Oryzias latipes: one gene and its partners. Each later gene encodes a partner of the first gene's protein in a complex. Links are inferred from orthologs where the notes say so. Each region holds a gene or a part of one and is shown in the gene's direction. Other genes may lie near its edges.

The links.
Region 2: crnkl1 (region 1) and snrpg share a complex: the UniProt entries of both Homo sapiens proteins name them as parts of the minor spliceosome. The link is inferred for Oryzias latipes from reciprocal best matches to the Homo sapiens genes CRNKL1 and SNRPG.
Region 3: crnkl1 (region 1) and snrnp200 share a complex: the UniProt entries of both Homo sapiens proteins name them as parts of the minor spliceosome. The link is inferred for Oryzias latipes from reciprocal best matches to the Homo sapiens genes CRNKL1 and SNRNP200.
Region 4: crnkl1 (region 1) and snrpf share a complex: the UniProt entries of both Homo sapiens proteins name them as parts of the minor spliceosome. The link is inferred for Oryzias latipes from reciprocal best matches to the Homo sapiens genes CRNKL1 and SNRPF.
Region 5: crnkl1 (region 1) and scnm1 share a complex: the UniProt entries of both Homo sapiens proteins name them as parts of the minor spliceosome. The link is inferred for Oryzias latipes from reciprocal best matches to the Homo sapiens genes CRNKL1 and SCNM1.
Region 6: crnkl1 (region 1) and ppil2 share a complex: the UniProt entries of both Homo sapiens proteins name them as parts of the minor spliceosome. The link is inferred for Oryzias latipes from reciprocal best matches to the Homo sapiens genes CRNKL1 and PPIL2.
Region 7: crnkl1 (region 1) and armc7 share a complex: the UniProt entries of both Homo sapiens proteins name them as parts of the minor spliceosome. The link is inferred for Oryzias latipes from reciprocal best matches to the Homo sapiens genes CRNKL1 and ARMC7.

The regions. Positions count from the first base shown.
Region 1 is NC_019882.2:16,307,262-16,311,434, forward strand, and holds the start of crnkl1 (crooked neck-like protein 1), read left to right. Parts: upstream 1-1,373; 5' UTR 1,374-1,512; coding exon 1,513-1,560; intron 1,561-4,120; coding exon 4,121-4,173. Other genes in the region: cfap61 (cilia- and flagella-associated protein 61), read right to left, coding at 76-226, 441-598. UniProt on the Homo sapiens protein: Involved in pre-mRNA splicing process. As a component of the minor spliceosome, involved in the splicing of U12-type introns in pre-mRNAs.
Region 2 is NC_019865.2:4,866,768-4,870,377, reverse strand, and holds snrpg (small nuclear ribonucleoprotein G), read left to right. Parts: upstream 1-1,149; 5' UTR 1,150-1,263; coding exon 1,264-1,295; intron 1,296-1,438; coding exon 1,439-1,461; intron 1,462-1,615; coding exon 1,616-1,740; intron 1,741-2,951; coding exon 2,952-3,002; 3' UTR 3,003-3,110; downstream 3,111-3,610. UniProt on the Homo sapiens protein: Plays a role in pre-mRNA splicing as a core component of the spliceosomal U1, U2, U4 and U5 small nuclear ribonucleoproteins (snRNPs), the building blocks of the spliceosome.
Region 3 is NC_019867.2:18,366,173-18,369,348, reverse strand, and holds the end of snrnp200 (U5 small nuclear ribonucleoprotein 200 kDa helicase), read left to right. Parts: intron 1-35; coding exon 36-144; intron 145-249; coding exon 250-439; intron 440-533; coding exon 534-698; intron 699-788; coding exon 789-910; intron 911-1,015; coding exon 1,016-1,159; intron 1,160-1,242; coding exon 1,243-1,419; intron 1,420-1,509; coding exon 1,510-1,670; intron 1,671-1,777; coding exon 1,778-1,859; intron 1,860-1,936; coding exon 1,937-2,029; intron 2,030-2,107; coding exon 2,108-2,251; 3' UTR 2,252-2,676; downstream 2,677-3,176. UniProt on the Homo sapiens protein: Catalyzes the ATP-dependent unwinding of U4/U6 RNA duplices, an essential step in the assembly of a catalytically active spliceosome. Plays a role in pre-mRNA splicing as a core component of precatalytic, catalytic and postcatalytic spliceosomal complexes.
Region 4 is NC_019881.2:20,375,325-20,379,581, reverse strand, and holds the start of snrpf (small nuclear ribonucleoprotein F), read left to right. Parts: upstream 1-1,457; 5' UTR 1,458-1,592; coding exon 1,593-1,595; intron 1,596-2,191; coding exon 2,192-2,317; intron 2,318-4,253; coding exon 4,254-4,257. UniProt on the Homo sapiens protein: Plays a role in pre-mRNA splicing as a core component of the spliceosomal U1, U2, U4 and U5 small nuclear ribonucleoproteins (snRNPs), the building blocks of the spliceosome.
Region 5 is NC_019874.2:27,122,062-27,126,065, reverse strand, and holds the start of scnm1 (sodium channel modifier 1), read left to right. Parts: upstream 1-1,204; 5' UTR 1,205-1,296; coding exon 1,297-1,347; intron 1,348-1,566; coding exon 1,567-1,637; intron 1,638-1,710; coding exon 1,711-1,799; intron 1,800-2,218; coding exon 2,219-2,310; intron 2,311-3,038; coding exon 3,039-3,139; intron 3,140-3,230; coding exon 3,231-3,358; intron 3,359-3,451; coding exon 3,452-3,563; intron 3,564-4,004. Other genes in the region: lysmd1 (lysM and putative peptidoglycan-binding domain-containing protein 1), read right to left, coding at 1-107, 301-483. UniProt on the Homo sapiens protein: As a component of the minor spliceosome, involved in the splicing of U12-type introns in pre-mRNAs. Plays a role in the regulation of primary cilia length and Hedgehog signaling.
Region 6 is NC_019867.2:618,824-622,323, forward strand, and holds part of ppil2 (peptidyl-prolyl cis-trans isomerase-like 2), read left to right. Parts: coding exon 1-132; intron 133-3,500. UniProt on the Homo sapiens protein: Has a ubiquitin-protein ligase activity acting as an E3 ubiquitin protein ligase or as an ubiquitin-ubiquitin ligase promoting elongation of ubiquitin chains on substrates.
Region 7 is NC_019877.2:19,372,906-19,377,193, forward strand, and holds armc7 (armadillo repeat-containing protein 7), read left to right. Parts: upstream 1-1,488; 5' UTR 1,489-1,735; coding exon 1,736-1,826; intron 1,827-2,574; coding exon 2,575-2,718; intron 2,719-2,801; coding exon 2,802-3,145; 3' UTR 3,146-3,792; downstream 3,793-4,288. UniProt on the Homo sapiens protein: As a component of the minor spliceosome, involved in the splicing of U12-type introns in pre-mRNAs.

The DNA.
Region 1 (4,173 bases):
AGACAGAACCGCAACATAATTAGTCTTTTTTAAAACATTTATGTTTAAAGAGATGATTAAATAAGTGACGCAAACTGTGCATTGTGGGGAGCTGAAGTGTTTGTGCAGAAACTGTTCCCACTGGGCCTGATCCACCAAGTCTCCAATGGGATGATCGACGAAGACAGCATGGGCCACAATGTCCTGGTTTTCATTGACCACTGTCAGGGCGAAGCTGGCTTTGTCTCTACAAGGAAGATCCCAAAAGACAAAAAAAAGCAAAATTATTTTATAAAAATAAATAACTTAAGTTAATAATTTATCATCAAAAGCAAATACATGTTTACTCTTTCTTTCAAATTACCATGGTCTTTAAACACTGACTGTATGGGATTAAATGTCAAAGACACCATAGGCTACAAGTCTGTAGATTTTTTGTTTTTAAAATACAATTGACCTACTCAAGTTGAACAACGTTGACTCTTCCAAAAATTGGACTTGTGGAGGTTGTTAGGCTCTCAATCCACTCAATGTCTGCTGATCCACCTCCTACAACGATAGTTTGACGGCTTGCGTCCTCAGCTAGACAGTTTAAAGTTTCAGATTTCATGATGATCATCTAGTGAGAGCAGGAGAAAACCGGGAAAAAAAGTCGCGATATAAGCAAAAAACGAGTAAAAATAGCTTCTTCTTTTTTTTCTTCTACAAGGTTTACTAACTCCTTGTTTTAGATAAAGCAATCCACATACTAGCTGCAACTTACTGTTCAATAACTGTGGAATGACAGAGTAGCTCCGAAAGTTTTTTTTTTTTTTTTTTTTTTTCAAGGGCAGTTGTCACAGCAACTGACGCCGCGCGGGTAGAACCATTTGTAGCCCAATGCATTGTGGGTTATCAAAGGACAATAAACAAACAAACAAACGAAAACAAATAAATAAATAAAGTTATTTGTCAAGGGAAAAAATAACTTGGCTTTTTTTCCTATTTAACATAAAACGTTTTTGCAAAATTACCTATTTGCAGACACTTGGTCAGATATTCAAGATATCAGCAAATTAAGATTCTAAACAGTGGTTACAAAAAAAAAAATATTTATTTATTTATTATAATTATTGAGTGGTAAAAACATCATCACTCTGTTGTAAATGTCAAAATAATAAAAAAATGGTCTAAGTGCAATTCACAAAAGAGCTAAAAAGCAACATTTTTCTTACTCAGAATCAGATGATAAAAGCAAACGCATCTGTATAAAGTTACTCAGAATATTTCTCTTTAAACATTAATAAGAATGCATTCTATGTCGTGATCTTCTCTGCGTTGTACACTCCAGTCCACGTGGTGCCGACAGCGGGCGTGAACTTCTAGGTTGGAACCGGAAGCTAAAAGAAAGAAATGAATTGTGGGTACTGTCATGGGCGCTCACACCGAGCAACAAGCGAGCAAACGATTTTGTTGTTGTCACTAACCAGTATACCATTTTAGAAATTGAACTTGGCATTTTAACGTAAACTGTTGACTTGCTAAGTAGTCAATATGGCCTCTACTGCTGCTGGAAAACAGCGGATACCAAAGGTGGCTAAGGTAAGTGAGAACGAAATAGCAAAGCTCTCTTAACAGCTTCGCTAAGCTAATGCTAATAATCATTTTCCCCCCAAAGGCACCCATTTTTAGTATTGCTGGCTTTTTATTTAATCATTAAAAAAAAAAGTGTGTAATACATGTGTAACAATGCAACAACAACGTTTTCACATTTTTACAATAAGAAACTATAATGAACAATTTTCAAAACTAAACTTATTTAACACTATTCTGAAAGTTCTAACAAAGAGAGTAACAACATGGTGACCTGCTTAGTTAAATTAAAATGTAACAATATGCTAATTGTTTTAATAATTTGCGACGAATCTTTATTCATTTTCCAAAACAGAAAATTATAAATCATTTTTTAAACAATTGTACAGAAGGGGAACCTTTTTTTTAAATCAATTTCATCTTGTAGTTATAATGTTTTTGCAAGAATTATTATCATGTTGAATATGTTGTTTGACTGGAAAACACAATTATGAAATACAAATATTTTATGTTGAGATAATAAAACAATTTCCCCAGGCATTACTTTAGATATGTGTACTATATCAGGCCAGAAATATTAAAACATGACAATGTACAAAGACATGTTTGCCTAATATATTCACCATGGCGCTGGCAGAAAGAGCACTTATTCCATACATTTGGGAGAAACAACAAATATATTGCGTTTTTTTTTTTTTTTACTGGGTGATATTTAAGGATAATTTAGAAGATAAATCGTTTAATATTATTTACATTAATATAGGTTTTTGCTAACAGATTGTTTCCCAAAGTGTTTTTACATACACTTTTTTCAATTAGACTTATTCCTTGAACTTAAAGTGACACTATGGCATTTATTTTAAGTTGTATTATTTGATGTAGAATAGACATAATACTCATTTTAAAACCTGTTTAAGGAACAATATTGGATTTGCCTAAAGAACTCACATACGTATAGCATTCACCATTATCATCCAGTAACTAGTTTACTGTACTTATATTTATAATGAACCTGGCATTTATTTATTTTTGTGTAAAATGTTCTATGGACTGTGATAACTACATGTTCAATCTGCAATGTTGCAACTCTGTCGTGATTTAAGCAACTTTTCTTTCCAAGATTTGATCATGTAAAAACAATAAAAAAACAACAACAAAAATGTACTTATTGTATTGACACTGCAATGCAAACTGAAAAGGAATCTATGGTCTTAAAAATACACTTTTTGCTTCTCTTTTTTTCAAATGCAAGAACATATTTTCAACGAAATTACTACGTAACTTAGTTAATCGAAGCTGAAGGTTTCCATTTATGCCGCTTCGGTTTGTCTCCTTTAATTTACCAGATAAATATTTACCTCCATTCAAACAACGCTTGCCATAACCTTCAGTGCAGTGACCACAAGCAAGTTATAGCAGGTTTACATTTCTTTCACTTGTCTATGATTGTCTATTTCTTTCACTTTAAATTAGGTAAAGTTAGAGAATTGAATTGCTGACACTTACTGCAGAGGTGAACTGAAATTAACACATTTTTCCATTTCCTGTTTTTTTGCCAAATGCTGAAACTCACTTAAAACTTGTTGCATTGTGTCCTTGGGCAAGACACTTCACCCTCCCTGCCTCCAGTGTTGCTCCACTGGTGTGTGAAGTAAGGGTTAATGGCCGACGAAGTGTGCGGTTACTACTTTTTAACGCACGCCGTGGAAGCCTGCTTCCGCGAAGTGCGTTAAAAAGTAGTAACCGCACACTTCGAAGGCCATTAACCCGCTTATACCATGGTCACTTACAAAAGCAATACATATTAACCAGGTTTTAGTCCTTAATTCTTGTTTTTTTTTTCGATTTGTATCACTTTTCTCATAAACAGCGTACTATATGTTACGTGATGCGGCGCATCGCGCCGCATCACGTAACATATAGTCCGCGTCGCGCAGCACCACCGCTGCAGTTAAGATTCGGCGATAAATATATATGCTGATCGTCCCGATGGGTTGAATAAAGCATCAATTCAGAGGGAAAGTTCACCTCTTACCGCTTGTTTTTGCCCCGATGATGAAGCAAAAGGTTGTTATACAGAAGCCGGCGCAGTGATACAAATCATTTAAGCTAGCCGACCGGAACTTCTTTTTCACCGTGCGGTTATCAGGTTTTAACGCATACCCAGCAGCCAATCAGAATCGAGTATTCAACCGGACCATGGTATAATGTGTATGAATGTCTCGGTGATGGTCAAAGGGGCCTTAGGTACGACCTGGCCGACACGCCTCTGTCATTCTGCCCCAGGGCGGCTGTGGCTACAACAGTAGCTACCATCACCAAGTATGAGGAGTGAATGAACAATGGACACATTGTAAGAGCTTTGAGCTTCTGGAACACACCGAAAAAAGTCCAATTTATTATTATTTTTATCATTAAGTATTTAATGAAATATGTGTATTTATTTTGGAGTTTACTAGCAAAGCACGGTTATTAAACCTTATATGTACATGTTTCCACTGATAATGTATTTTAAATAAGGATACCTGGGAATATGCAACATTTGTAAAGACTGTGTTTTGCGTTTTAGGTGAAGAACAAAGCCCCAGCAGATGTGCAGATTACAGCTGAGCAGCTGCTGAG
Region 2 (3,610 bases), on another chromosome or scaffold:
GATGCCTTCTGCTTTCTGTTTGTTAATAAAGTTGTTACAATTTGAATCAACGCCTGGCAGATTCAAAAGCTATTTTCCCATCAAAACTTAAACTTCCTGGAGAGGGAAAGCACTGATTAACATCATCATTTATGTCTTTAATACACTGAATGTGTTTTGTCAAATTGTGCTGTTTTCTTCCAAATAATCAGCAAATATATAATTATTAATTCTTACATTTTATTTTTTGTCAGGACAGCTTTCCATGAGCACATCACCATGGTAACTTGCTAACAACATCCTACTGAGGATGAATGAAGCTGTTTTTCTTTTTTCTTTAAAATTGCTTGTAAAAGTAAAAATCATAGTTTATCAAATTTATCATAGTTTCAAAATGTTCCCATAACCTCTTAAAGTTAAGGTAGCTCAGGTCATGTTAGTGAGGAAATATGAAGTAATGGATGCTAACATCCTCTTGAATGGCTGGCTGTTCTCTTTGGTAGATTTTGGGTTGAATCTCAGCCATTTGTTTTTTTAGTGAGTGCGAATTTATGAGATTTCCATTTTTCTGAGGGTCTAGCATGAATTCCTATAAACCTTTGCTTCATAAAAAACGTTTTTGATGTCTTTATTGATAGCAGGAAACGTGGATTGTATCTCCTTTCTATGCAAACAAAAGCAGCCGCCTCAAAGTTTTGTTTCTCTAAAGTTATTTTCAGCGGCTCTTTTCAGTGTCACTGTGATGATTTAAAGTTTGAAAAATGTTTTGGGAATTTTTCACAATCTTCCTTTGTAAAGGAAAAAGTAAAACAAACTGTCGCATTTTTTAAATGTATGTTTGATTTTATTTTTGCTTTTGATCATTACAGCTCAGATGTTCAACCAAAAAAAAATAAAACTAATCAGCTGTGCTTTTGCACAAATAAAAATCTATTAATACAATGAGTTTTTTAAGGTTTTCTATATATATATATATATATATATATATATATATATATATATATATATATATATATATATATATATATATATATATATATATAAAATATATCACACACTTCATGTGCATGTATTTTTATAGTTGTTTTGGTCATTTTCTAACTGCAAATAGTATTATTTGCCTTTGGCTGATCCCTTTTTAAACCAGATTACTCCTCCCAGCCGCACGAGGGCGCAGCACAGCAAAGGTCACAGGGTTTTACTTCCGGTCTCCCGGTCCACACGCGTTTCCTACGCGGTTTTGTGAATTGAAACACGACTTTGTTTCGTTAAAATACAGACACCATGAGCAAAGCGCATCCACCAGAGCTAAAGAAGTAAGTTTGCAAGTTTTTGAAAGATGATAGGCCTGATAGCTTCGGTCTTTTTCGCGAGATTGTAGTATGTTTCCATGTTAGCCACCGTTAGCCGGAACAGCTAGGAATTGAAGCTAAATCTAAATAATGTTTTTGTCTTTCAGATTCATGGACAAAAAGCTTTCCCGTGAGTTAAAACTCTCGTTTCATTATTTAATACATATTTCAAAATTACACTATATTTCTATTCATTCGCCGGCTTTTTCTTGTGAAATTAAATTCGCTTTTAGCTAAGCTAGCAGCCTTCATGTTCATCAGTTTGCTCTTTTTGTTTTCTTCAGTGAAGCTGAATGGAGGCAGACACGTCCAGGGCATCCTGCGAGGGTTCGACCCCTTCATGAACCTGGTGATGGACGACTGTCTGGAGATGGGCCCCGGGGGACAGCAGAACACCATCGGGATGGTGGTCAGTGTCCGAGCAGAACTGTGAAGCATGAGGGAATAGTTTAATTCAATGTTTTACCCCACCCGTAATAGCAGGACGAATAGGTTCAATTAAAGATCATACTCTTTATTTATTTTTATCTTTATTAGCAATTCCATCTTTTGACAATTTGAACCAATTTGAGTGCTGTCTACATAGATTTATAAAAACATGCACAACTGTTTTCCTAACAAACCAGACAATCCTATAAAGAAATATGAACCAATAAAATATGTTAGGGGTCTGCTAGTTAGTAACAAAAATGTAAATGTTCTAAAAATCATCTTTTTGATAAAGAAAATTTTCTACCTCACAAATACACTTTTTTTGTTTTAATTACTTTTTTTTTAACTCCTTTTAATTCACTACATTTTGAATAAAGAAATACGCAGAAAAGCAATTTTAAGCATATTTTTTTTAAATATATGTCCTCATCAGAAAAATGCCACAAGAACATGTCAAAGTAAATAAATTAAAGCAATCCCAGTTGGTCATTTAGTGGTTTTGATCATTTCCGGCAACTAATTTTTAATTTTTTCTACAAAAACAAATTTTGTTTCGAAGTTTATTCAAAATTCTTTAGTCAAAGAACCTATTCTATCCACTTTCTCTTGTAAATATAACATTATATTGATAAGACAGACTTCCTCGTTTGTTTTCCAGGCATCTGTATTCTAGTTGCTACTGGTTTTCTAGATCGGGAAGCTGCAGATTCTGCTTGATGAAATCCACCTGATCCACGTGACTAGCTGCAAATAAAGCAGGGTTACTGGAAAACATTTCCACATTTTTATGTGTAGCCAAAAGTTCATTACTACTTAAAATAAATACATCCAGACCAACAGGGGAGCCTCAATGCCTACTGAAAATCTCTCTTAAATATATTATACTGCCCCCCCCCCCCCCCCCCCCCCCCCCCAATACTCCAGCTTTTCCAAAGATGTCTAATTAGTTTATCTGAAACAAAACTGACCTGTCTTTACGGAAGAACAAATAACAATTGCCTGTTCCAGTGAATATCTGTGAAACCAAACGTTGGCAGGTTCGTGGTTTTTCCTGATGTGACAGCCTCAGGAAAGGGTTTAGTAGTTTTTCCCAAACTAGAACATTTCTCTTATTCAACACACAATTGTGTAAAAATAAATGTGTAAACGTGAAAAGATCTGATCTGTTTTCCTTTTGTCTTCCCGAAGGTCATCCGAGGAAACAGCATCATCATGTTGGAGGCTTTGGAGCGAGTATGAGCAGAGCACAGCGGCGCCTCCTGTTTTCTCATTCCATTGTAGTTCATTCACAATGAAAGTCTGTTGGTTTTGAGATGTTTGTTTGTTAATAAACTATTTTTCTTTTTATCCGTGCATTTGTTTGGTTTTACGAAATGTTACTGTATGTGTTCTTTCCTGTAGATGCAGCAAGAATTTAGTGTTTTTGTAATGGAGGATGAGCTGCTAAACAAAAAAAGAATATCTTAAATGTTAGGGTTAGTCTTATCTTAAGGAATTCGAAAGCTTTTTTTATAGCTTAGCTGTTAAAAAGCTATAATGGCTAAACAATGTTGGGAATGCTGGTGATGAAGACATAAATGCTGAACTATTTTAATAATTTGATAGACCTAAAGTCAGCTGAATATTTAAGATATGCGTAATTTCCATTCATGAGCTGGCAAACTTGTTATAAACTAGCAGGCAAGTATTTGTTCATAAAATATTAAAAAGTTGGATTCAGTTTGTTTATTCTTGAGCTCTATCAAGTTTAAAAGTTTCCACGTTGAAAGGAAAAAAATTTAAGGTATTTTAAAATTAAAAACATTAGCTGCTTGACACTAAAACAAAGGGTTACCAATTTTTCTAAA
Region 3 (3,176 bases), on another chromosome or scaffold:
ATATTTTCAATCATTTTTGTTTTGTTTTCTTTCAGATATGTGGATTATCCCATTTATGACGTTCTCCAGATGGTGGGCAAAGCAAACAGACCCATGCTGGATGATGAAGGACGATGCGTCATTATGTGTCAGGGCTCTAAGAAGGTAAACATTAGTGGTTTTATTGTTTGTTTTAATCCATTTAGGATTGGAGTAATTATTGCACAACAGTATTCTTCTAATCTAATACTATATGGATTCTTCTTAAAGGACTTCTTCAAGAAGTTCCTGTATGAGCCCTTGCCTGTGGAGTCTCACTTGGATCACTGTCTCCACGACCACTTCAACGCAGAGATCGTTACCAAGACGATCGAGAACAAGCAGGATGCCGTGGATTACCTAACCTGGACGTTCCTCTACAGGCGGATGACGCAGAACCCCAACTACTACAACCTGCAGGGTGGGCAGCATCCCTCCGAGAGGAACATCAGATTATACTGAGGCCGTCACAAGATTGTTAGTTTTAAGAGTCGTGTGTTTTCTCTCGATGTCAGGCATGTCCCATCGTCACCTGTCTGACCACCTGTCAGAGCTGGTGGAAAACACGCTGCACGACCTTGAGCAGTCCAAATGCATCAGCATTGAGGATGAAATGGATGTGGCACCACTCAATTTGGGCATGATTGCTGCCTACTACTACATCAACTACACCACCATCGGTTTGTAGCAACCGTTGCTTCTCTGTGTTGGTTAAAGCCGTGTCCTGAACGCTGAGCATCACGCTGTAACTTTGCTCTTATGTCTGGCAGAGTTGTTTAGCATGTCTCTGAACGCAAAGACGAAGATCCGCGGGTTAATTGAAATCATCTCCAATGCTGCTGAGTATAAAAACATTCCCATCAGGCACCACGAGGACACACTTCTTCGACAGGTAAGCAGACTCCACAGTGGGAATCCATCATCTTTCATTTTTGTTGCAGCACAAAGTCTAACCGTTTATTTGACATTAAATTGTGGATCTAATTTTACATTAAAGCTGGCACAGAAAGTTCCCCACAAGCTCAACAACCCGAAGTTCAACGATCCCCACGTGAAGACGAATTTGCTGCTGCAAGCTCATCTCTCCAGGATGCAGCTGAGCGCAGAGCTGCAGTCAGACACTGAAGAGATCCTGAGCAAGGTTCACGTTTGAAATGCTTCTCTCCTCCCTCTTCTGTGAATGTGTGTGTAAAGCTGATCCCACTGTGTGTTTGCTGCATGCAGGCGATCCGCCTCATCCAGGCCTGCGTGGACGTGCTGTCTAGTAACGGCTGGCTCAGTCCTGCGCTGGCTGCCATGGAGCTGGCCCAGATGGTCACCCAGGCTATGTGGTCCAAGGACTCCTACCTGAAACAGCTGCCCTACTTCACCTCAGAGCACATCAAGCGTTGTACTGACAAGGTGTTTCGCATCGTCTGACTGCTGCTTTTGTCTTCTGTCAAAGCTCGCACATTTAAACTGAAAAGTTAAACCTGTGTGTTTTGTCTCCAGGGTGTGGAGAGTATATTTGACATAATGGAAATGGAGGATGAAGACCGAAGCGGCTTGCTGCAGCTCACAGACGCTCAGATGGCAGACGTGGCTCGCTTCTGTAACCGTTACCCCAACATCGAGCTCGCGTATGAAGTGGTAGAAAGGGATAACATAAAGAGGTTAGTGTGCAGTCCAATCAAGAACTATTCAAAACAATGATGCATTTTTGGATCAGATTTACATCAGCACTGCCCTCTGGATAAAATTTGGTCTGTGTTTTCTTCAGTGGCAGTCCAGTTCTGGTTCAGGTTCAGCTGGAGCGTGAGGAGGAGGTGACTGGCCCTGTCGTCGCTCCCCTTTTCCCTCAGGTCAGTTGAGTGGCTGTCCACTTCCCTATAGGTGTTTCCTACATTTGCTTCATCGTTTGATCGTCTCATCGTTGCAGAAACGTGAGGAGGGCTGGTGGGTTGTGATCGGAGACCCGAAGTCGAACAGCCTGATCTCAATCAAGAGGCTGACTCTGCAACAAAAAGCGAAGGTGAGCCGCTGCTTTGAACACTCCCTAACCAAAAATACGCAAACTACCACAGTTTTCATTTTTGGTTCTTCTGTGTAGGTCAAGCTGGACTTTGTGGCACCAGCGATGGGCATTCACAACTACACGCTGTACTTCATGAGCGACGCTTACATGGGCTGTGATCAGGAGTACAAGTTCAGTGTGGACGTGAAGGAGGCAGACAGCGACAGCGATTCAGATTAAGCTGGAAATTCAAATTCTACATTTTTAATCCTTTTTTTTTTTTCAATAAATAATGGGATCAGGTTTTATATGTAGATATTTACCCCGATCAATCTCTGAGAGTGACCCTGTCAGTTCTCTGTGGGTGTTATAACATGTTTTCGTAGTCAGTACAATCGTTTTATCCTGTATGTTAAACAGCTTTTCAGAAGTTTTGTGTTCTTTACGTTGACCATTGATGTACTTTTCACAAAATTATTCAAAGATAAGTCTAAGACATCTTAAACTGCCGTTGAACAGCTGAGTCTCATCCACATTGCATGTTTAAATAGATTAGACTTTCCATTTTACTTTGGTTAAACGTCATAAGATTTTTTGGATTGGTTAAACCGTTTAATCATTCATGCTGTCTGTTTGTTTTTTGCAATAAAAACATCTGAAAATTGTTTTATAGTTTTATTATGAAACAATTAGTTCTTAGTCTGGCCCCTTTTATGCTACAAGCTCATGTCACTACAGCACTTAATGGATATTGACAAGATTGTTCTTGATCCCCTCCCTTTATCCCTATATATATCCCCACACCTGAAATGTCTGAATAAGCTTGCAAAAATGTCTTTTGGTAATGGAAATAACTGCACTGAATGAACTTGTTTTCAAGTTTGGTAGTTGGGTTTAACCCTTGTGCTATCGTAGACGACTCCCCCCCCCCTTACATTGACGTGTTCTCCCTACCATGATAAAGGTGGAAAGATTTCATGTAATTTATGGATACCAGAGAAGATTACAAATCATTGGAGAAAAAAGGTTCAGAGCACTTTCTAGTGGGTCTAGATGACCCCACTCCCAATGTTAGGATAGCACAAGGGTTAAATTAACAGTGCAAGCCAGTTGGTGAGCTTTGACTACTGATAGTGGTGTTGTGCTATCCTAGGCACTTTACCAT
Region 4 (4,257 bases), on another chromosome or scaffold:
GGAGAAAGCCTGGAAAGTGAAGGTGACAGTGGTGCCTGTGGTAATTGGAGCACTTGGGGCAGTAACCCCCAAGCTGGAGGAGTGGTTACAACAGATACCTGGAAAGACCTCAGACCTCTCAGTACAGAAAAGCGCAGTGCTAGGAACAGCTAAGATACTGCGCAGGACCCTCAAGCTCCCGGGCCTCTGGTAGAGGACCCGAGCTTGGAGGAGAAAGCACCCACGGAGGGTGAGAGGGGCGTTTTTTTAAATTTTATATATATATATATATAGATATATAGGGAGCTGGTTTAGCTCGTGCTGGTTTGCGGCGCCTTCCGTCCGTGAAACCAGGGTTCGACTCCGGGCTGCTCCCTGTTCCCTTCTCTACTTCTGTGCCGGTCCCAAGCCCGGTTGCTTTGAGAAGGTTGCGTCAGGAAGGGCATCCGGCGTAAAACATTGCCAAGTTTACCATGCGACTCGTTCGCTGTGGCGACCCCTGATGGGAAAAGCCAAAAGGGAAACCAACCCTATCTATCTATCTATCTATCTATCTATCTATCTATCTATCTATCTATCTATCTATCTATCTATCTATCTATCTATCTATCTATCTATCTATCTATCTATCTATCTATCTATCTATCTATCTATCTATCTATCTATCTATCTATCTATCTATCTATCTATCTATCTATCTATCTATCTATCTATCTATCTATCTATCTATCTATCTATCTATCTATCTATCTATCTATCTATCTATCTATCTATCTATCTATCTATCTATCTATCTTCTGAAGATGAGACCCACCAACTCACACATTGATTCTCGCACTGTTTTCCCAACAATCTATATGTCATAAACACTTCTCAGCTTACTTACTTAGCCATTGCCTCCTTGGTAACCGCCTCGCACCATGATTCCTCTGTAGCAAACGTGAAATCTACCTGGCGTTGATACAGAGTGTGAGTGCCTGTATGGTGAGATGTCATCCACAGTTTTGGCATCTTCTCCAGCTCCAGGCTCAAATGAAACATTTACAAAACTAAAATCATTTTCTTACATTAAAGCTCGGTAATGCAAGCCTTTCAAATAAACAGCAGAATGTGAGAGTTCGTCAGCACATGTTGTCAGCAGCCTGGAGCTGATGACAACAATTCTATAATTCCATTGGGTTTTATATTATCTGATTATAAATCATTTTTAATTTCACTTATTTATTTATTTTTTGACATTTGGTCTTGTCTCATTGTTATAAAATAGTTTATTTATGTTTTTTTTCATAGTTTGTTTATTTTTTGTTGTTTACTAATTGTGTGAATGATGTTGTGTCATTTTGTAAACTGATTTTATTTATGATTATTTTATTATGACTTTATAAAGCAGATGCACTGGAATGTGATCAGAATATAGTCCGAGTCTTTTTGTTGCACTAATACATCCAGAACGCCAGGGGGCGACGTGAGGCGCGGCGAAAAGCTCGATGCCACTTCCGTTTCCTGTCGGCGGCAAAGCGTGCTTCTAGTTTGTGAAGCTAAAACGTTTTTGTGACGAAGACATAATAAACTTCTAATTTACTGTTAATCGGGTCTAAACTTAATCGAGCAAAATGGTGAGTAACTCTTCAAATATGTAATTTCACACGGCCTTTGGGTTTATTGAAGTTTGTTAAAACAAAGAATTTAAGAGAGTTAGCTCGTTTATGCTAGCCATGTTAGCATCCCATTCATAACTGGTTTACACAGCTCGTAGGGGAAAACAAACTTACACTAAAAACAAAACTTTAAAAATGAAACGGTTAGATATTCAAGTGAGCTTTTACTAAAGTGTTGTTTGTTTTGGGTAACGTGTTGCCGTATCAGAAAATGAACGTCCGTCGGAACAACACAAAACTATGACGTTCCTCTGCAGGTAGTAGTGTGGTCGAACATTATACAACAGATTAATAGAAGTATATAGGTCATTTGAATAATTAAACTGCTCCAAAACCGAATTTATGTACTGTTTCCCAATTATTCAATTTATTTTTTTAATGCAGTCCAGATTGGTTCTTCAGTCGCTCCTGTTGATGATTGGTGGTGTAAAGAAATCAGACGTGGAGACTGTCCATAACATGAATAACCCGCATACTTAAAGTTCTAAATATCTCATAGGGAAAAGCGTCATGTTTGCAGACTTGATGTAAGGTTTCAATCCCCTCTGCCGCAGAGTTTGCCCCTCAACCCAAAGCCTTTCCTGAACGGCCTGACAGGGAAACCAGTGATGGTGAAGCTGAAGTGGGGAATGGAGTACAAAGGCTACCTGGTGTCTGTGGACGGATACATGAACATGCAGGTAAAAGCAACTCTAGCTTCATTCACAACTATATCAGGGTTTATTCTGGGATTTTAAAATGCAGCTGCAACACAGAGGCAAACTACTCAAAAGTAAATGCAATTATTTATTCAATCTATTTTAAATTAGTCAAGAGTGTTTTTATCGTACTCAGTTTGTTATTATTATACATGTTTCTAAATGACCAACAGTGTTTTCAGTCTTCTATTCTGAGCATTAACTTAGACGACTGTTGGTGGAAAACCAATTAGCAGCTTTTCTTGTACCAGTTTACAATTTTTTTCAAAAATTCTAACTATCCTATCATATAACATTTTAATAAAAAAAAGTCGTTTAAAAAAAGGTCAAATGGCTCCTGTCGCATAGTGACAGCCTCTGCAAAGATGACGGAGGCTTTTTTGAGTTTGCTAAACGATCCTGTTCAGCAATTATTGATCAGGAACTTTCCGCTTCATCCAAGAGTCAAAAACAAACTCAATACAGTTTCTAAATGAAAACACTTCTGGTTTTTCACAATAAGATTATTCTGGGCACAAATAACAAAACATTTCTCTGAACCAATGAAGTCATTCAAACCAAATCATAAATGTTGTCTCACATTGTTATTTAAACAGTAAATAAGTCAAAACAACTCTAAACACTTATTTTTTTTAAGTATTTATCTGTGATGCTCATTTTTTGATCAGGGTTATCCGTAGTAATCACAACTAAAAATGTTCCAAATTTAGCTTTTTTGTCCTTCACTGAGCAATTAAGTCTGTAAGTCAGTCGCTGCAGCGGCCTGATACTGCATGAAAGTTGGCTAGCATTTCTAAATCTGGAACAACTTTTCTTACCAAAACATATCAAACCATTTTGTTCTATTGTTTAGATAGCAGCACATGTAGAATAAAAGAAATCTGTTTAAAAAATTGAGATTTCAGACCCTTAAAGCTCTCACACCAAACCGGTGTTGCTTCTCCATATTTTACATAATTCTTTGTATATTTAGATTTCATGAAATTTGACCTTTGCTAAGAAACTCTTGTTGTTTAGATGAAGGTTGTTGTTTAACTTTGTCATCTTTTATTATGAGATTTTAAAAGAAATACATTTGTTGTGTTTTACTCAGAGGAAATTACCATAAACATTTTACTTGTTTAGTTTGTAGAAAAAAAGTGATAAACGGCAGGAAAAGTACATGATTGTTGCAGAAATCCTCAGATGGAATGGGTTTTTACCAAACTGTGACACGCCACCATAACAGTAACATCTTTTCTTACGCTTTTCTAAGCTCTTCAGAAAAAAGTCTTATATCTGGACTTGTTTTTAAAATGTTTAATTTCCTGAAATTCCAAAGTAGATTCTTTGTCGAGTGAATTTTCTCAGGTTAAATATTAGTTAAAAAATGACAGAAAAATATAAGTATTTAGATGAAAACTTGGGTGCTGGAATTAAAGGTTAATCTTTTAACATTTGTAGAAAAGAACAGAAAATTTGCATTTGGTTATTTGGGAAACAGCAAAGAAATCCATAAGATCTTTTTTTTTTTTAATATTCTTGTGGCATCTTTCTCATGATGGAGAACACGTATGAAGAATGAATCAGGAGCAGAAGACAAAATGCCTTTTGATTAAGATCGTATTTGTGACGTTGAAAATATGGTGGGCGGGCAACAAGCTCCCTGCTCCGAGGGAAAGGGGGGCGGGGTTGCTCTGTACCAACAGTTTCGCCACAACAACAAACTGGGTAATCATAATTAGAACCACTGGGAAGGCTTTGACACTAGATCTTAAGATGATCAGAGCTGATCTTTAAACTAAACGTTATGAGTAGTTTACTGTTTAATCCAGCAGAGGGCGCCACAGAATGAACGTAAAATCTAACAAATCTTTAATTTGGTAGAAAAATGAAGAGAAGGTTTGAGGTTTTGACTTTTCTGTATGATGTCTGACAGCTGG
Region 5 (4,004 bases), on another chromosome or scaffold:
GACAAATGAATCCCTTTCAGGTCTGACAGAACAGGGATCGACAGAGACTTCTTCAGGAAAATAGAGTCGTTGGTGTAAAGCCTATTTGCTCTCTTGATTTGTTCCATCTGGAAGACAGAAGAATGTTGTTGTTTTTTTTTTAAACTAACAAATGTCAGAATCAAAAAAAATTATGTCATAACATAAAACCAATGAATAGATTTTACTTTTAGTGTGGAAACAAAAGATGTTCCTTGTTAATATTTCAAATTGTTTTAATTGTCTAAAGTAGGGAGTACAAATCTGGTTTATTATACTTACAGAGACTCCATACTTCAGGGCCAGACCTTGGAGCGTGTCTCCGGACTGAACCGTGTGTTCAACGTGTCTCTGGCGGACCGGAGACGCCGGCGACGATCGCATCAAGCTGCCGTACGACATAGCTCGGCTTCCGCGAAGAAGACCGCCTCTCCCGGATGGCAAAGCCGCTCGTTGTCCGGACATATCCGATAATTATTTATGTGAAAATCATCAGTAACACGTACGCAATTTTAATGTTGGAACTGGTTTGACGTCGTCCTAAACTAGCAAGCCCAGTTCACCTGCTAGCTGCTAAAGTATCGACTAATTCATCTTCTTCTTGCCAAAGTGCCGAAATGGCACTGCCTGAACCTTATCAACAGTCGGGAATTGAAGAAAAACTACTTAAAACACCTTAAACATAGCTTAACTGTCAGTAAACAATCTAAAAACATATCTAAAAACTTTAAATATGTTGTTTTTTTCAGTCAGCTGCAGTCTGTTGCCATGGCTGCCGCTGTGAATGACGGCTCTCATTGGGTGGGTTGTGTTCAAAGTAATTTGAATACTGAAATTTAAATGAAAACATAACATTTTTATTTTTTTTATTTTAATCAGAGTTTGTTTAGTATGAATTAAAATTTCATTGATTAAAATAGGCAGTTTTTTTCCCCTTCGCGATTTATTTACAAAAAATATGTGATGTTATAAACATTTCACATCGATGCTTTCTTAAGAGTACATGCAAACAAATCAATTTAAATGTAAAATAATATTTTAACAATGGTTTGTTAGACTAGTTAACTTGACCATAAATAAATGAAATGGTACGATGGGAAACTGCAACGTGGTTAGCTGGAAATCGTGGACAAAAAAAGTGTACATGTTTGTCCCTGAATGCAGCACTACCAACACTTCCGGGATAGTGTGACGTATAGAGAAGCTAGCCCAATGAGTTAACTCATTGAGCTAGCCGTTAATCTGGTGTTTATACCATTGATTTACTTCGATATAATTATGTCATTCAAAAGGGAAGGAAATGATGGGAGCCAACTTAATATTTTAAAGGTATTTAAAATGATATAATACATTGTATTCATAAAAGAATAGGCTTTCTTAAAGTTCATACGCTGTCGTTTTTTATTTGTTTTGCTAGCTTAGCTAGTAGCAAGTTTCATATGGATATAATGTACACAGAGTAAATGAAAACTGTTTGGTAAAGTATTTAATGTAAATTTTTCATCTGCTATGAAATACTTACTGATGATTTGGGCTGTTGGTTTACAGAAACGGCGTGTATCTGACCTTTTGTCCAATTTTATTCCGGAAGATGAAGCTGCTCTTCTGAGTAATGGCAGGTGAATATAACTAAACCCTAAGTGTCAGTTTTGTTGTGAAAGTAACTCACCTTTCTGCGTTCGCTCCACACAGGTACACGTGCCTTGTGTGTTCGTATCGCCCAGTGTTTGACACAGTTGACATGTTGACAGTCCACAGGCAAGGGAAGAAGCATTTAGAAGGTAAATATCCTCCTTAAAAAGTGACTCTTAGTGTGGAAAATTTTTAAATTCCCCAGTATAAAAGTGTCTTGGTGGTCATATTTAGATGTAGACAAAACACTGTAGGCTCATTTCTCTCAGATAGTGTTTGCACATTTGGCCCCAAACAGATCTTCTGTGTTGTTGATGTAACAGGTGTGTCATATTAAGGCACTAATGACAGGAGGTGTGAGCATCATTCGCCTGACGTTCGTTGTTTTCCGACATTAATGCTACATAACAGAGTATTGGTAGAAAATGGATGTAAATGTCACTCCAGAATGGGTGTGACATGTAAATATGTCATATATGTTTTCTTATTTTTTAAATAAAGTTTTATTATGCATGTGCTTTTGGTGCATGCTTTTATATCCGTTGTGTTTTTTTGTTTTGTGTTTTAGGTTTAAAATCCTTTTATGGGAAAAAGTCAAAGTTCAAGAATGAAATTGCAAAAAGAAAACATGAAGATTATGTCAGAGCAGAAGACAAAGAGGTTTGGAGCTTCAACTTGATCATTTTACCTGCGGGTAATTTTGTATTTTGACCGACCGACCGACCGACCGACCGACCGACCGACGTACCGACCGACCGACCGACCGACGTACCGACCGACCGACGTACCGACCGACCGACCGACCGACCGACCGACCGACCGACCATCACACGAAACAATGACATGATGACCGACCGACCGACCATCACACGAAACAATGACATGATGACCGACCGACCGACCATCACACGAAACAATGACATGATGACCGACCGACCGACCATCACACGAAACAATGACATGATGACCGTGTGATGACCGACCGACCGACCGACCGACCGACCGTTTTTACAGAGACGACTAAATACTTAGTGTTATTGTGGTTAAATTTTTATTGTTGCTGAATTATAGTACTTTATTGACTTGTTTTGGAATGACAGTTGTAGAAAGGATGCACCTCCTGTACTCCTGTAAAGATATTATGTCGCTGCTTGTAACATGTTAAATATGGATATAAGAATAAGTCGTATTCTTGTGTGACATCCAGTACGTGCTTGTGGCTGCCACGTGACTCAGACAACCTGTAGACTCTGCAGCGTGAGTTGAAGCGGGTGTCTGCTGGTGGAAAACATGAGCAGAGCCGGCCAGAGGACACATGGAGCATTTAGCTGAGTTGGAGTCTGTCAGAGCTCAGTCTGAGAGACAAGTCTCTTTTGTTGTGATTGCAGGAGCCCTCCAGTTCGGCACCTTTACTGGCACAGACCCGGAAACTTACCCATCATGCTCTTCTGAAGACTGTTCCATACAACAGCTGCCACAGAAAAACCAGGTTGGTCATCATTTAAGGTTAAAATACTCATCTGTAGTTTAAAATGGAAGTAAAGATGTGAACATATATCTGTTTATTTATTTATTTTCAGTACAAAGTTGAATAAAGGACAGTCGAGCACTGCTGGAAACACATTTCAACACAATTTCCCATCTGCATGTTGGAAACCAGAAGTTTCTGACAATGCATCCACAAGTGATTCTAGTGATTGTTTCACAGGTAAAATCTGCTCCTAGAAATCATATTTTGATATTTTATTTAAAATAACTGATGGTTCTGTTTCAACTGATGCTTTTATTTTTATTTTTGTAGAGTCTTGTTCATCCAAAGACAGAATTCAGTGTCAGTCTGAGTCGAGACAAACGGCAGAACTCATAACGCCGCAGAGGCGAAGAGAGATGGAGCACTACCTCAAACTGAAAAGGTGCAAAACTCTCTTTTCCTTTTTGTCACCAGTGCTAGATTGAATCTGCAGGCCACAGAAACTATGTTTTAGAAACTCTTAGCTTAACAGTCCAAGCAGTAAACTGATAAAATGAGTGAAGTCCTCTGCCTCAGGCTCCACACCCAGCTCCTCTCCAGCATCTTCACATGCGGCCCGTTGAAATTATTCTGCTTCCTTGATTTGTTCTCTCACTCATTTATTTGTGTTTGCACCATTTCTGTACATTGTGATTTATAGGGTAACAAATATATGGGATGTACACAAGACTTGACATTTTAAAACATCTGCGTCCAATCCTGACATAAACAAATGGCACGCCTATCAACAAATAAAGTAATAAATCCACCAAATCTTAACAAAGTTCTTCAATAAACGTATGGAAGGTTGAGATAATAAATTCATAATTGTGAAAGTTTATCA
Region 6 (3,500 bases), on another chromosome or scaffold:
TACCATCTGAACAGCACCAATCTGGAAACCAGGGAGACCTTAGCCGAGCTCTACAAGGAATACAAAGGAGATCAGCTGCTGGCCTCCACCATGAAGGAGCCGGAGGCCAAGAAAACGGACAAACTAAATGCTGTGAGTAGAACCCTGATAGGAATAAACTCCTCCTGACGTTGTTCTGACACACTTTGTTTTGGCGTAGCGTCAGAGCTTCTTGTTCTTCTCCTCAGAGTTGTTGAATAATTATGAAGCAGATTCTGTTTTTACTGCTGAACAATTGCCTAATGCAGCAGTGACTCAGCCCCTCCCACATGCAGCAGAGATCTCAGCTGTTTTTTTGTTTTTCAAATCCATCATTTCAACTCAGACAAATGAAGCCAATGGCTCAGCTGTTCCTGGTCACATGATAAATACCGTAGGAGCCTTGCTGCCTTTTTGTTTGACTGGAAAACAAGGACAGCAGGTTTTTAATGATGCCAACCTGTTTGGTTTTTCCTCTAATGAAAGCTGCTTCACGGAGCAGAGCTCTGTCAGTAAAATGAACCGTCTGGATCGTTTCACTGTCAGATCAGCTGTTCGTTTTTAGCCAGCAGCTCATGAAAAGTGCCATATCTGCTTCCAACACAAGAGGGAGCCAGACAGACAGGTGTGCAGCTACAGCAGAGTTGGACTGACTGACATGACAGCTAATCAGTCAGACTGGAGCAGCTTTTCTCCTCATTTTGAAGCTTCTTTTTGCTGCTGGGCTGCGTTTGGCACAGAGGTTTCCTGAACATGGCGGTCTGGAGGTGAAGGTGGTCTGAGAGAACAGACACAGCAAATGAGGTGAAGTCTGAGCTTTCACAGCAACTGGAGCAGAAACGTGTAAAGTCTGTGGCTCCACGTTCATTTTCTGCTCACTGAGCTGTCGGCTTTGCTCAAACGCCGTGTCAACAAATGTGCACGCGAGGACGAGAGGGCCGCAAATCCTCAGCGCTGCAGCGAAGAGGCGTGCCTCCAGGTTTACATCCATCATGTTAAATCAAAACGTTGAGTTCATGAAAGCCTCTCTTGCCTTTAATGTCCTTTTAGTTTGTCGGCATTTTAAAACCATCAGCTTTTCTTCAATGAATAGTTGATCGTTTCTCTGAAAACCAGGTTTTCTGATGTTCAAGGAGTCAACAAATGTATGTTTTTATTATCAATATTGCAGTTATTCAGGGGGGTATTCCAGGAAGCATGTTTAAACTCCCCTGACTTTAAGCCTGAACTCTGGCTGAAATCTGCCTGAACTTGCTTACTCTGGGTATGTCGGTTCCCAAAGACCGGATATGAGTTGGTGTAATTACGCTCCACTTGGTAACCCTGGGTTAATGCACGTGCACAGCAGGTACATAAAGACATTCTCAATAGATCGCCGATTTCTGGAGTCACCATGGAAACGCGTGGAGAAAAAAAGAGAACGCTATACTTCAGTGAGACGGAGTCTGAGATTAATGACGGCGTATGAAGATTATACGACCATCAAAAAAGTGACACGGCTGCATCATCAGCAAAAGAAAGTTTCTGCTTGGAGAAAAAGAACAGACAAAGTAAACGCACGAGTTTCTGATCTTATTTCCATTTTCCTTGTGACGCATATATATATAACTTATCCAATTTTGCCACCTTAAATGAAATACTTCTATTGGTAACAAATAATTGAGTTAAATTTAATCAACCTAATTTCTTACGTCTATAAAACTCAATAATTGTTTTTACAACTCAAATTTATGTATTTATCTAACTAAATGTCATATTACTCCAATTCAATTAATATTTTTCCATCTTAATTAATTATATTTCTTGATCTCTCATATGTCTAAGTATGAGCCGGCAGATATGTTCATTTTTATAACAATAAAAAGGACGGGAAAGAAATGCACATTGTGCACAAATTCATTAAAGAATTGTCCGTCTTTGTCATTACAATATGTAACGGTAGGGGTGCTCTATAAACTCATCATCCTCTCCTTCACTCTCACTCATGGTGCAGAGACATAAGCACAGTGGGACAAAATAACTCGGCAAAACAGCTAAACAACTAAACACATTTGGTCAAAAAGCCACACTTAAACCCAAATCCGTCCAGATAGGCAAAAGGAATGGTATCCCACAATCCCTTGCGGTGCCGGTCTAACAGCAGCACCAAAGTTAAACCTACTTAATTGAATTAATTTGAATGAAAGTAAAATGACTGTCTGAAAACTACGTGTTATTTTTAAACTGACTTAACAAACAAAGGATTTATCTTAACTGAAGCAAATAACTAAGTTAGATCAAAGTAAAAAAGTTTCTCTTTCCAACATCCATATGTGGTCTTATCCCCCTCTCATGGTGGAAAAAGTATTATCTGAGCTTCTTCATCCACTAAATCATCTTCAAATGGACACGCCATGCTGCTTCACCTCTCTGAAAACAAACTAACCTTCAACTAAACCTGCTCCAGACCAGGTTATGTTCAGAGCATGAGTTGCTATGGCAACTTGACATACCCTGAAACATACCTCTGTTTTTGGAACTGAAAGCTGAGGTTATCAACTTCCTTAGCCTCAAACTTACCGTGAGAGCTAGCATAACCTACTGTCTGGAATACCCCCCTGGAAACCGGCTCTAAGGTTTTCAGTAACGCTTTCCTTTACAGTACAGTCCTTACAGTGTACTTAAGCGGTATTTACATGGTACTTTTTGTGTAACTACTGGGTACTTACAGTGTTTACATGTGTACTTTTTATGGAATTTACTGGTTACTTACTTGGTACTTTTACAATGGTACTTTTTGGTTGATTGTTGTTCGTGTGTTCATATTTTGTTTGTAGTTCGCCAGCTGTTCACCTGCTGTTCGTTTGTTGTTTGTTTGTTTGTTGTTCATTCGTTTGTTGTTCATTTGTTGTTAGTTTTTTGTTTTTAGCTTGTTGTTTGTTTGTTGCCTGTTAGCTTGTTGTTTTCCTGTTAGCTTGTTGTTTGCCTGTTAGCTTGTTTGTTTGTTTTTAGCTTGTTGTTTGTTTGTTTGTTTGTTGTTTTCCTGTTAGCTTGTTGTTTGCCTGTTAGCTTGTTGTTTGTTTGTTTGTTGTTTGCCTGTTAGCTTGTTGTTTGTTGTTAGCTTGTTGTTTGGTTGTTTGTTGTTTTCCTGTTAGCTTGTTGTTTGCCTGTTAGCTTGTTGTTTGTTTGTTTGTTGTTTGCCTGTTAGCTTGTTTGTTTGTTTGTTTTTAGCTTGTTGTTTGGTTGTTGTTTTTCTGTTAGCTTGTTGTTTGCCTGTTAGCTTGTTGGTTGTTGTGAGCTTGTTGTTTGTTTGTTTGTTGTTTGCCTGTTAGCTTGTTTGTTTGTTTGTTTTTAGCTTGTTTGGTTGTTGTTAGCTTGTTTGTTTGTTGTTTTCCTGTTAGCTAGTTGTTTGCCTGTTAGCTTATTGTTTGTTGTTAGCTTGTTGCTTGTTTGTTGTTTTCCTGTTAGCTTGTTGTTTGCCTGTTAGCTTGTTGTTTGCCTGT
Region 7 (4,288 bases), on another chromosome or scaffold:
CTCTGCCGCCTCTCCATGACCTCTCCCCTCTTGGCGTCATTGCGAGCGCGCTCCTGGGCCCGAAGTTCATCCACATCTTCAAAGAACCTGTGTCTGCAAGACAGAAAAATACAAACACAGGACACAAAAATAAGCTGCATTTTAAACCACAAAATGCAAAAATGGGCTCTCTTTAAGACAGTAACCTGGTTTGGAAAAGCACAATCTGCAGCTCAAATTCTTTTTAAAACTTTTTTTTAGAAAAGGAATCTCTGCAGCAGTACACCAACTAAACCAGAGCAGATTTCACACAAAAAAATTTAAAAAAAATTTAAAAAATGTAATCTGATAAAAGCAGCTGCACTAAGTGTCAAAAACGTGACACCAATGTAGAAAAGAGAAATTTGTGAAGTGAAAAAGCCCCCCACTTCCAATAACACAATATGTTTTACAAAAAAGATTCTTATTTTAAAGATATATTTTACAAAGACATTTATTTAGATTTCTTTAATTTATTTTAAATAGTAATTGCACTCCAGGTTGTAGAAGATACTGGTCAAAAACTGAAATTATGCTAAATAATCTACTAATTAAAAACATTAGTGTCTCATTACAAATGATTACTAATTATAAATTAAAAATGCTGTTACCTGCAGTCTTACACTTATATAATTAAATGTTAGTATTTTTTGTGGTGCAAAGAAAGAGTATGTGTCTGTGATGCCTTGCTTTGGAAATAAAAAGGGCTACAAAATAAAAATAGTTGTATTTTTCCTATTACTAAAGATATTTAAAGACAAAATTTCCTGTTAATGAAATTATGGTTTGGCTCCAATGTTAATTTGTACTTAAGGACAGTACAGACATGTTTTCAGTGTTTTTCTTAAACTTGATTACAATCAAACGTCAGCGTCATTACGCAAGGACAACAATCTCCAACGTTAAACACATAAAAAAATATTCTGAATATATAGACTAAAGTCTATATTTGCGTTATAACTTTCCTATTGTTTTATACAAAATAAGAAAATAGATCACCTGTTTATGTAAACAGTGGCAAGTCCAACAATGATGCTCCCGAACAGAATAGGTTTCGTGAGCCTTTTAGCTGCAGAGAGCTTGTGAGGCTTCATTGCTGCAGAACTTTAAATCAGAAGGTTCACGGCATAGAATCCAAACAGCAACAGAAACGTGAGTTTGTTTTCAGCTGACCTTCCTGCGCGTGAGTTAGTTAGCTGAAGGGACGTTGGAGCGCCTCAACTTCCGGTCCAGCACTGACGTCTATGTCGACAAAGAAGTACCGACTTCCGTTTGAGAATTGAATTTCGTAAAGTAATTTGCTTTTATCGTCTATGACAAAAAGTAATCATTTAATTAAATTAAATCAAAGTGATTTATTACCGAAACATTATAGGCCTAATTATTAAAAATCACAACGTTTTAAGTGATAAAATAAATTGACAGCTCTTTTTTATGTAAGAACAGCTTAATTCTACTTTTGGGTTTCATTTTTAATTGTTATTCTGTTGCGTTAACAGTTCATCCAGTCTTCAGAAGAAGAAAAAAAAAGAGTCACGAAACAATATCCCGGAACCACTGTCCAAATTCTAATTTAAGCCGGACGTATTTGAAAGACGGACAAAATGAACGAACTACTGAAACCAAATGCATAAATGAGGATACTATTTCAAATGTATTTTATTTTTTTGTTTTAATCGCGCGTTTGTCTTCTTAAAAACACAATATAAGATACTGAATGATGAAACGGAACTTTTCACCCGAAACCTCTGACCGGTTTGAATATTTACAGGCTCTTGTCACAGAGTTTCAGGATAGTGACAGTGAAGGTAAAAACACAAATAGCTCGCAGATTCATTTAGAAAAACTAAGAATTATTGCTAGTTTACAACAAATTCTTTGAAATTAAATTGTTAATGCATAAACATTGTAATGAAAGCATGTCTTACTTATATCAATCCATGATAGTCACTTTATATATATATATATATATATATATATATATATATATATATATATATATATATATATATATATATATATATATATATATATAATTATTTTTTTATTTTTATTTATTTTATTATATATATATATATATAAACTACAAAAATTTAATTTTTAAAATCTGAATGCTTAGAAACAGGACAGATTATTCAGGAAAAAAACAATGCATTTATCTTTTAAGATTTTTTTTTTTAAATAATTATGCTTTAGTAATTCTGACGATCATGTTTGAATACTAAATTAAAAATGCATAATGACGTTTTTTAAAAATCAATAAAACCAAAATTTAACAAATGCCATTTAATGATTTATGCTGATAGACTTTTGCAGCCTTTTATATGCAATATATAAAGGATCAAACTACATATTATTGTCCGTCAATAATTTTTTAGGAATGCAGGTCTTTAGTCTTATTTTTAATGTTGAGGTGTAAAAAAGCGCCCTCTGGTGGATTAAATTTATCTTGCTTTTGGTCCTTGTTCCCGTTTCAGTCATTAATGTCCAGTATATGTAATTTAATTGAATTTGAATCTGATTCTGTGTTTTTTATTTATGTTCTGTTGTCGTTAGAGGCAAAGGAGCAGGTTTTGGCAAACCTCGCCAACTTTGCTTACGACCCAAAGAACACAGAGTATCTGCGACAGCTGCAAGTGACCGACCTGTTTCTGGATATGTTGACTGAGAAGAACGAGAACTTTATTGAGTTTGGAATGGGTGAATCTTTTTAGATTATCATTTGGGTTTTTTTGTACCATAAATGCAGTGAAAAACATTTTTTTTGGTCTAAATTTTCTCAGGTGGGCTCTGTAACCTCAGTATGGACCCAGACTGCAGGGACCTCATCCTGGACAGTGACGGCATCAGCTTAATCACAAACTGTCTGTCAAACCAGAGGGAGGAGACAGTGCTATCAGCAATTACTACCCTTATGAACCTTGTGACTCCAGCTTCACAATCTCAGCTCACAGAGCCAGGCATCTTGCAGTGCATGCTGCGTTTCTCTCTTGCTGAGAGTCCCCGGCTGCACAACCTAGCTGCTGTGTTCCTGCAGGACTGCTGCACCAAGGATCAGGTCAGGCAGGCCGAGCAGCAGATGCAGGGACAGCAGATGGCTGTTGGGATCCCACTACCCAAAGACTAAAGACTTTGCTTCACAGTCAAGTGGAAACAAACAGTGACCGTTTTGGTTTTATGATTGTTTAATTTCTGGTGTTTTCAGCAGATGTTGAACCGATCTGGAGGATTTCCTTTGAACAAAATCCACCCTAAAGTTGGTTATGAAGAGAGGAAAATTAAGCTGCTTGTCCAGGTCTTGCACCTCCTCTCATTTGCAGCTGGAGTTTGCACAGGACTCATGTCTTCACTGGATCAGAATCTGAATATTAAGATGGTTTTTGTATGTTTTTAAGCACAAGTACATTTATAAAAGTAATTTGAAATTTGCTCAAAACAGGCTTCCAGCAAAATGAGTATATTTGTTCTCATGGAAAAATGGTAAAGATGTGTTTTACTAGACAGAAAATAATTCCTTTCAAATGTTGGACACCAACTGAAAAGGTCAGATACTCATCAAAGGAAAAATGAGGGAAAGTTTGTCTGTAGTCGTATTAGATTTAAAAAAAAAAGACATATAGAAACCCAAGTTATCCTGCTTTCATGGGAGGAATACGTTTCTACCAACTGTCACTAATCAGCAGAAATACCAAACCTCATGGAAGCCTAAGTTTGTGGCTTTCTTAGTCTGGATAATTCAGGTGTCTTTTATTGAAATAAAAAAAATCTACAGAAGTTCTGCCTTCGTGTGAGTGTTTGGCTCTCCTCCCTTTAGTCCTGACTTGGGCGGCATGATATGAGGAAAATTTGCAACATTGGTGATCAATATTGCGATGACAATATACTTGCTACATATCAACAAATAGCAAAAACAGCTGCATTTTAATTTTACAACAACAAGGGTTAACCCTTGTGCTATCCTAGACATTTTAACGTTGGGAGTTGGGTCATCTAGACCCACTAGACAGTGCGCTAAACCTTTTTTCTTCAATGATTTGTGATCTTCACTGGTGTCAATGGATTACATGACATCTTTCCACCTTTATCCACATTTGTCATGGTAGGGAGAACACGTCGATGTAAGGGTGGGGTCATCTAAGATATCACAAGGGTTTCGTAAAATGTAAATAGTTTCAATTATTTACACTCCAAATGACCCTCGTCTACCTATGAGGCGAGCATCTAACATAAAAGGGCTCCATCCGATTGGTCAAATGCACAAAGGGATTTA